Oryzias latipes: one gene and its partner. The protein of the gene in region 2 purifies or fractionates together with the protein of the main gene of each other region. This does not show direct contact. Links are inferred from orthologs where the notes say so. Each region holds a gene or a part of one and is shown on either strand. Other genes may lie near its edges. The genes, in order: nudcd3 and gan.

Region 1 (4,265 bases), on a different chromosome or scaffold from region 2:
AATGCGTTCACTTTTCCACATTTACAGAAATCTTCAATCCTGATCAGATCTTTGTTTTCTTTCTATAAAACTAAACTTCTTTTTCTACGAATGTTTGAATTTTGTCAGTTTGAAGGAGAGAAAAGTGTGAAAATGTTTGTCTGAGAAAAGTCTAGAAAGTGAGTTTTAAAACATCCGTCCCGTAGTTTTAGAACGTTTACGATAAACGAGGGAACACGATTACAAGTCATAATCGTGTGCTAATGGGGGTGTGGTCTGTTGATTGACAGGCGACTTGCAGCAGAACACCTCTACCGGCATTACAACAGTTGTCGAGCCGTGTGTGTCGCTTATGCATTAATTCTGCTTTTGTTTACTGATGTTGATTGTTGTTGATTTCCTGAGGAACATGGCGCTCTGTCAGAATGTCAATTTTTGTAACAAGTTGAAAAAACGGTTGGGTTTATGGTAAATACGTTACTATAGCATGTCTGTGTTATTACAAAAGTTGGGATTTAGCGTAGTCAGGGTGACGTTTTATTTTACCAGTAACAGTTTTACGTGTCCCAAACATGGTTGGCAGTTTTTAACTATGCTTACGTGGCTAACATGACTAACGCGGCTAATGTGGCTAACGCAGGTAACGCGGCCAATGGGGCTAACGTGGTTAATGTGGTTAACACGGCTGATGTGGCTAACTCAGATAATGTGGCTAATGCGGCTAACATGGCAAACATAGCTTACGTAGCTAACGCGGCATACGTTGCCAATGCGGCTGACATGACTAAGCTGGCTTACGCTGCTAATGTGGCTAACATGGCAAACGTGGCTTATGCGGCTAAAGTGGCTTAAACAGCAATAACACGCGTTGTGTAATACAACTAAGGTCCAGAATGTCTTTCGTCTCACATGATGCACCGGTTGTTTAATGCGTCTTATTTACTACGTAACTTTGGAAATAACGTTTTTAATTTTGTTCCTACGCTCTTATATTTAGCTAGTTTAGCATCTTTCTACCTTAGTGCCCATGAGCCTTTTTTTAAACGATCCTCGCGTTTCTATTCCGTGAGTTCTTCTGTTGGGCTCAGCACCGATTGGCTGTTCCGATGAAAGCGTTGATCTAAAGTCCCGCCCCTCGCGCCCAGCTGCTTCCTCACCATTTCGTGGCTCTGCGGTTTGCCCTGCAGCTTCTGGTGGTAGTCGAACGTCAGCCTGTCCAGGACGGCGTGTTCCTCCTCGTCCACCGTCGCCATGGAGCGCTCGCGGTTGATCCGGTTGATGTCGATCTCCTCCTCCCCCTTCAGCACCGCGTTCCACCAGGTCTCGGAGGTCTTGCTGAGCGACAGCTGCGAGTCACAAACACCCACATGAGCCCGGAGAGAGCGCTCTTTCCTGGTGAACAGGGCCCGGTTCTGTCCCGGTTCTCACCACGACACACTTCCCGGGCTCCAGGCTCCACAGGGAGTTCTCCGTGTTGATCTTGTGCGTGAATTCCCCCTCCATCAGAGTTCTCTCCTCGCCGCCGTCCTTCGTGGACACTCTGATGCCGCTGGGCTGCAGACTGACGCTGACCTGCAGACACGCCCCCGTCAGCGCCGGATTGCCGACCTCCTGGCGGCGCAGCGGCTCGGACTCACCTGTCGGCCTCTCACCACCGTCTTCGGCACGAAGACCCGGACCTCCACGTCCGTGTAGTCCTGAGACCAGCTGTAGTTCTCCCTCTGTGCTCCGTTGTAGCTGTCGGGGTTGGCCTGAAACATGTCCTGGTTCCTGAAAAACAAACCCGTCAGGAGGCGGGCCCGTCCAGGAAGCTCCTCCTCCTCTGCGCCGGATGCTCACCCTTCTCCCGCCGCCGCCGCTTCATCTCCTTGAGACGACGGAGCTCCTCTGCCGCTGGGGGCCGCAGCCTCACCGGCAGCAGCCGCAGCGTCTGGAGCCTCGCTGGCGGCGCTCTCCGGTTGTGGCGCCTCCACGCTGCTCCTCTCCTCTGCCTTTGGGGGCTCAGAGGAGACCTGCAGCTCCTGGACTGCAGGAGGAACGCCGCGGCTCTCCTCCGCGTTCTGCAGCTGGCTCAGCGCCCTCTGCCGGTCCTGATCCGCCATCTGCTCGAACAGCCTAAACGTCTGCGGACAAAAGAAAGTCTGCCGTGGGATCCAGAAACCAGTTGGAGCTCAGAAGGAGTTTGGAGAACCAGAGGCACTGGTTCCACTGAAACCAGCTCAGTAGAAAGAGGCGTCTGGGGTTTTGAGCGGCAGGAGAGATGACGGGGCCCCTGCAGTCAGGTTTGCCCAGGGCCCCTAAACATTTTTTAAACGGTCCTGAAACACGCTGGGGATGTGTTTTTAGAGTGTAGATATTATTATCTGTGGCGCATCTCTACAAGAACCCAAACCAGAACACGAATCTAAACAAGATCTGAAACTTTGGTTCGTTCGCGGCAAACGCTCGGAAGGAAGGCACGCGCCACGCCGCGAGCGCCTTTACAAAACTTCACCTTCAGCACCATCTTCTCTGCGACTCCAGGAGGGAAGCCCATCCTGTCGTCGGGACCGGACAGCAGTCGATAAAAGTCCGTCTTTCTGTACAAAAACCCAAAGTAGACCCTCAGGAAGTCCTGAATGTTTCCGACGTGTTGCAGGATCCCCAGCAGAGCGTTGTCGTACATTTCCGTCATCTCCAGCGGCGACGCCATCGCGGCTGCGAGCGCGAGCCCTTTTCCGAAATGACCCGAGTGACCAAAACCACGAACGACAGTGTATAAATGAGGCCGGTTTGTTTTGTCTCTCTGATTACGGTTGTCTTTTTCCAGAACAATGACGCAGTTTCCGGTACCACCATGTCAAAATAAGAGCACACCAGTCGTTTTGTTTGTTTTTTTAGCTTGCTTTTCGTCGAAATCATCTTGAAGCAAGCTAATTTACAAATTAGAGAGCCCACTTAAATATGCACCAATTTAATTTTATTTATTCATTGAAATCAAGCGCAAAACAACAACAACAAAATACTGTAAAAAATGATTTATTTCCGTTCCAGCTACATAAACGCTCCCTAAGAAACAACATAAAAACAAACGGTCATAAAAACATAAAAAGGGCTGTTTTGATCGACACTTTTAGTTTGGAAGTTGTTTTTAATATAAAGCATGCGTTTTTGTTGTTCTTTTTAAATAAAAACGTTGTTATAAAACAACATAGATTAAGGACAATAGTAGTTCCGCTTCAGACGGTACAAGAAAACATGGCCGCGTCCTTCAGCTGCGGCGGGAGGCTGCTGGTGAGACAACAAAATGAACATTTATTAACATCTAAGACATTTTATTTTATCGAAAACGTCTTTTCTTAAAAATAATGATGACGTCTCAGAAACGATGATATTCTGGTTACGAACGAGAAGCTTTTCTGTGAGAAATGTTGGCCTGCCGAGAACGAAGAGACGATTAACTTCTTTAAAGACTTTTTCCCCCCATAAATCAATGCGTGTCTGTAATCCAAGTGAGCTAAAGCCACGATTTAATCCGGAAAGGTTTTCAGCATTTGAAGAAAACCCATTGGTTTCAGGATCCACCGACAGAGGGCGCTGCATTCAAATGACACTAAATCTATCTAAAGATCTCGTTTCAGTTAATAACCTCTCAGTGTTTCTCAACATTTGGAAGTAGAGCAGACCTGCATGTGAGGATCTGAGGGCTCTAAGAGGTTCAAAAAAGTATTTTGGATCCATTTAGACATTTATAAACGAAGGAACTAGTTTTAAATCAACTCTGAAAGCTGATGGGTTGATTTAAAAATCAGACGTGTTTCTCCTTCTTTCTTGAACAACAAGCTGAAGTTTATTTCTGTCTTAAAGACTCGACAACAGGTAGTTTTAGATGGAACGGAGGCAAAAACTTCTGCACTGATGGCTCAGATTAGGTCCAGATCTGTTCGTCCAGACTTTCATATGAACTTTCATTCATATGTTTGTATCTGAGAGTGAAAAGTCATCATTGGTTCTTCAACTCCCAAACTAAAGACCATTATTCCATTTCTCTGCGAGCTCTAATAGTTCACCTTTCAAATCAGAAATAAAACCAAAGGAAAGTCAAATGGTTAGCATTTTCCAAAATGACAGCTTTCTGATGGTTTTATTTCCATGGCAACCTTTTTGTTTTTTGGTCACCTGAGGACGCTCGCCACAATAACGCAGTCCAAAACCTACACACTTTACTTCCATCATTTTCCTTCCAAGTCGCTTCCCAATGATGCTTGGATCGAAATCCCTCGGAGGAGTTTCAATTTGTTGGCGGC
Region 2 (4,401 bases):
GTCGTCCTGCCACGCCTCCAGCAGCTGGGTCAGATCCAACTCACACTGGCTCCAATGAAAGTTCTCCTGAACCAGAAGGCTCTGCCAGGTTTCACGGATCTTCATCCTGACGGAGGAGAGGCTCGTGTAGCAGGGGGTGAGCTCTTTAACCGGACCGGCTGCGATGGTGCCCAGCTCTCCCACAGATAGGTAGAACCAGCATTTATTCTGTTCTGTGTCCATGTGAAACTGCAGCCGGTAGTCCTGGATGAGCACCGTGGAGTTGATCATGCCGTTAAAGTACTCCCGGTCTTCCCGCTCCTGCAGATTCTCCCAGGCCGAGGCGGTGAGCACGGCCGGAATCCAGATCAGCCCGTCTGACAGAACCAGGAGCTCCGTGGGGCCTTCGCATCCGCGCGCCTGGGACTGAGTCATCTGATCCAGCCCGATGACGTGAGCCTTCAGCCGGCCACGTCTACCATCCTCAGGGCCGCCGTAGCTCAGGATCAGACTCTCTATCCACGGCGTGAGCCTACTGGGACCATATTGATGAAGCATATCTGTGGTTCAAACTATGCGCCTACCGTCCACTTCCGGCTGGAACACAGCTGCGCAGAGTGATACTTCCTGTTTCTCAATTGGTCCACCGGAAGTGAAAACACTAGCTCGTTTATAAACCGCTACATTTTTTTATTTTCTGTTGATGCATTTTGAGAAGAAAACAACTCATATGCGATAGTTTTTAGAATTTTAATTCCTAAAATATTATTATGTTTTAGAAGATTTCGTTCCTAAAACAAAAGTTTAGAGGGTGGAAATTAAAGCTAAAATAGGAAAAATCAAACCTTTTAAAAACCACTCTTCTGATAACGTTTTCCCCCAGTTAGAAATTATTTTATTGTCCTATTTATGGATTTATACCAAACATGATGCTTCCTTCAAAATAAAAGCACAGCAGTCAGCATAGACGTATCATGCGGCAGTCAGGAGGACCTAATATATATGTCTATGGTTAGGTCAAGAAAAATGTATGGCAACCATTACAAATTATGTGTTAACTTACACCAATCACAATCTGGAATTGTCCGTTATTATACAATTATAAAAAAAAAAAAAACTATTTTGTGTTTTATTTTGCAGTACGTAAAAGAAGCATTGGAATTACAAACATCTAATGGTAATGCCAATGTGACCGGTTACTTTCTCGTTACTTTTATTTATTCGAAAAAAGGAAAAAAGGTTTATCTTATTGGATTGCGGCATCTATCGCACTCCCCATCCTACCTGATGATACGTTTACGTGTCATAGTAAAAAAGGAACAGCCAATCTACTAAGTTTGAAATGTTAACATTTATAAATAAAGATGTACACATAACTGTGAATGCGCCTTAAAATCTAATTTTTCGCAATTAAAATCTAGGTCCAAACGATTTTACTGAGGTTGTGTGTTCGTGAAAGTGCAATCCATAAATGTAAAAGGAAATTTCAAGTTTACCGTGTGTCATTGAAAGCAACAAAAGACATGCCTTTTTTAACGTCTACTTGCTAAATTCTTGCCTGAAGAGATCTTCGTGTTCTTCTGGGTTGTGCTTTGCACAAAAGACGGGGAAAACCTTTAACTTTATTTTAAAAGAAGTTTCTTCAGGTAAGGCATTTTTACCATCAATTTCAAAAAGTATAGTACTTTAATTTAACTGTAACACGCAGCGCCGAAGGCAGTCCTGCCATTTGATTTACCTGTTTATCAGTAAGGTTACGCTGCTAACCCAATATCTTGTTAATCCTGTGGATTTGTATACTACGTTTAAATGTAATGCTGCTGTTGTCAGAAGATTTTCCCCCACATTTCCATTGCTGCTAGCTTAGCTGTGCTAGCCAAAACTTATTGAAAAAGTCGCCATTTTTAGACGTTTCGACTCCGTGCGTCACTATGGCACACTAATACTGCAGTTTATTTTCCACCAAGAGTCCTAATTCAACCCTTAATTCGGCTCCGTAGCGACTCATTAAAGAACTTGTTGACAGCGAGGAGTGGCTCGTGCTTCGGGCTGTCACGTGCCGAGACATGCCCAACTCTGCGTGCAGTGATCCCGGCGCCAGGGTTTCGGACCCGCAACACTCCCAGAAGCTGCTGCGAGTCCTCCGGACCTTCTGGGAGGAGAAAAGCTTCCATGATGCGGTGCTGGTTGTTGATGGAGAGGAGCTTCCGGTGCAGAAGAACATCCTGGCTGCTGCCAGCCCTTACATCAGGTAAGGTCACACAGGGAGGGACGTGGGTGGGACAGACTTTGATGGTTCCCAGGTGAGTCCGCCTTCAGATGCCTGTGATGACTTTGTGTTCTTGCAGGCTAAAGCCGGTTGTGTGTTGACATTTTTCAGTCTGCAGTGGGAAAACATGTTAGTCCAGGAGTAGTAGTCACTGCTGCTTTTAGCAACTTTTGTCTCGCTAAAGGAGTTCCTCAAGGATCCATGTTAAGACCATCAAGGTGTGTCCCAAATAGTATCATAGTCATAAACCTACAATCAGTTACATATTTCAGTTGTATTAGTTGATGTGACAGGATATGGTGATACATGTTGTGTTGAAAACTGCAAATTGTCCAAACCATAAAGAAAATATTTCCCATCTGTTTTATTTTCATCCATTTCTGGCCCACAAAGTTGGAACCAACTTTTGACCTTGTGACCTTAAAATCTACCTGTGAAACAGATCCCTCAAAGGTGTACAATGGACAGGTGGCAAACAAGCAGGCTTGCTGCCATGGAGGCTTGCTGCAGCTTTTGTCCGTTAGCTGTGAAGCAAACTTTGAAATGGGGTTTAAGTTTCATTTGAAAAGGCCTGAAAGGGTCTTAAAAGTACATAGAGAATATGATAGTTTTCCCAAACCCAAAAATCTACATTTGGCATAACATTAAATACTGTTTTTGGTTCCTTGCACATGAATATCTCTCCTTTTTATATAGACGCAAAAGAAATAATAAGGACTAAATGTAGTCGTGTTGTGTATTTGTTTTGGTTTTGTTTTGGGGGCTGTGCCTCTATTTTTTGTTGATTAAATCATTATTCTAAAATCAGGAACACACACATGTTTAGGAGAGACTTGTTAAAAAAGAAAAAAAAAGAAAAGAAAACAGAACATAGAGCAAAACAGCATTTCACATATGCAATATATATATATATATAAACACATATATTAATCTAAAAGAAACAACTCAAACTTACATTTCTTTGTCGTTTATTTATTAAATGACACCTTTACTGTTTTCGTGTTTTTTATTTTTTAAATAAAATACATTTTTTTGGCAGTTCTACATTTGATTTGTGTATAATTTTTCTTTATTTTTGTTACCAGAAAATCCCAAAGTTGTGCAAAATAGTTTGTTTTCTGATGTGTTGTTTTTTTTTTTTCTTTTCTTTCAAGGACCAAGCTGAACTATAACCCACCGAAAGGAGACGGCTCCACGTACAGAATCGAGCTGCAGGGGGTTTCCATGGCCACCATGAAACAAATCCTAGATTTCATCTTCAGCGGTGAGGTGAGTCCCGGAGCGTCGCTCTTCTCTCTGTGAAGGTTCATGTTTTGGGGTCTTCATTTCTGTGCTCTCTGCTGTCAGATTACCCTGAGTGAGGAAACCATCCAGGACATGGTTCAGGCGTCAGACATGCTTCTCATGACCGACCTGAAGGCCTTGTGCTGCCAGTTCTTGGAGAGCTGCATCACTGCAGAGAACTGCATTGGCATCCGCCTCTTCTCTCTGCACTACTGTCTGCACCACGTCCACCACGTCGCCACCGAGTTCCTGCAGACCCACTTCAGGGACGTGGAGCTCACAGAAGAGTTCAGGGAGCTGCCTCCGGAGCGCCTGTGCGAGCTGCTGGCCATGGAGAAGCTCAACGTGGGCAACGAGAAGCATGTTCTGGAGGCTGTGGTGCGGTGGTTCGCCCACGACCCTGATGAGCGCAGGGTGTGTAAACCCACTACCTCTCCATGTTTTACCTGCTTATGAAAAAACTAAAAAAGAGGGAAACGTTGAAATTTAGAAACAGAACTCCCCCAAAAAACTTGTGAAAATCTTCAGACCTGTTGTTAAATGGCAAAAATGTACTTTCTGCTGAACTAAAACTAGAAAATCTCCCAAAATGCAATCTAACTTTGGAAACTCAGCAGATTCTGCCTCGTGGCTGATGGAGTTGTATGGTTTGGATACACTGGAAGTGAGGTTTTGGTTTGTTTGCAGGTCCACATGAAGCAGGTCATGTCATCTGTGTGGCTGCAGGGTTTGGACATCAGCTACCTGAGACAGCAGGTCTGTTACTGTCACTTCTGCTGTGTACCATAAAGAGAAAGCATTTTTGTTTTGTTAGCTTATCATTTATCTTTTTTTTTAGCTGTTTTTCTTCTTTCTATGGGTTAACATGA

The links.
Region 1: the proteins of gan (region 2) and nudcd3 purify together in Homo sapiens (co-immunoprecipitation; 3 studies listed by BioGRID and IntAct, counting the BioPlex papers as one, with this or other methods). This does not show direct contact. The link is inferred for Oryzias latipes from reciprocal best matches to the Homo sapiens genes GAN and NUDCD3.

Annotation. Positions count from the first base shown.
Region 1 is NC_019870.2:1,856,889-1,861,153, reverse strand, and holds the start of nudcd3 (nudC domain-containing protein 3), read right to left. Parts: upstream 2,807-4,265; 5' UTR 2,672-2,806; coding exon 2,474-2,671; intron 2,103-2,473; coding exon 1,819-2,102; intron 1,750-1,818; coding exon 1,617-1,749; intron 1,552-1,616; coding exon 1,408-1,551; intron 1,326-1,407; coding exon 1,137-1,325; intron 1-1,136. Other genes in the region: mrps24 (28S ribosomal protein S24, mitochondrial), read left to right, coding at 3,217-3,252.
Region 2 is NC_019864.2:26,282,431-26,286,831, reverse strand, and holds the start of gan (gigaxonin), read left to right. Parts: upstream 1-1,476; 5' UTR 1,477-1,625; intron 1,626-1,979; exon of another isoform or gene 1,980-2,005; 5' UTR 2,006-2,045; coding exon 2,046-2,230; intron 2,231-3,402; coding exon 3,403-3,517; intron 3,518-3,595; coding exon 3,596-3,946; intron 3,947-4,219; coding exon 4,220-4,288; intron 4,289-4,401. Other genes in the region: uncharacterized protein LOC105354257, read right to left, coding at 1-537. UniProt on the Homo sapiens protein: Probable cytoskeletal component that directly or indirectly plays an important role in neurofilament architecture.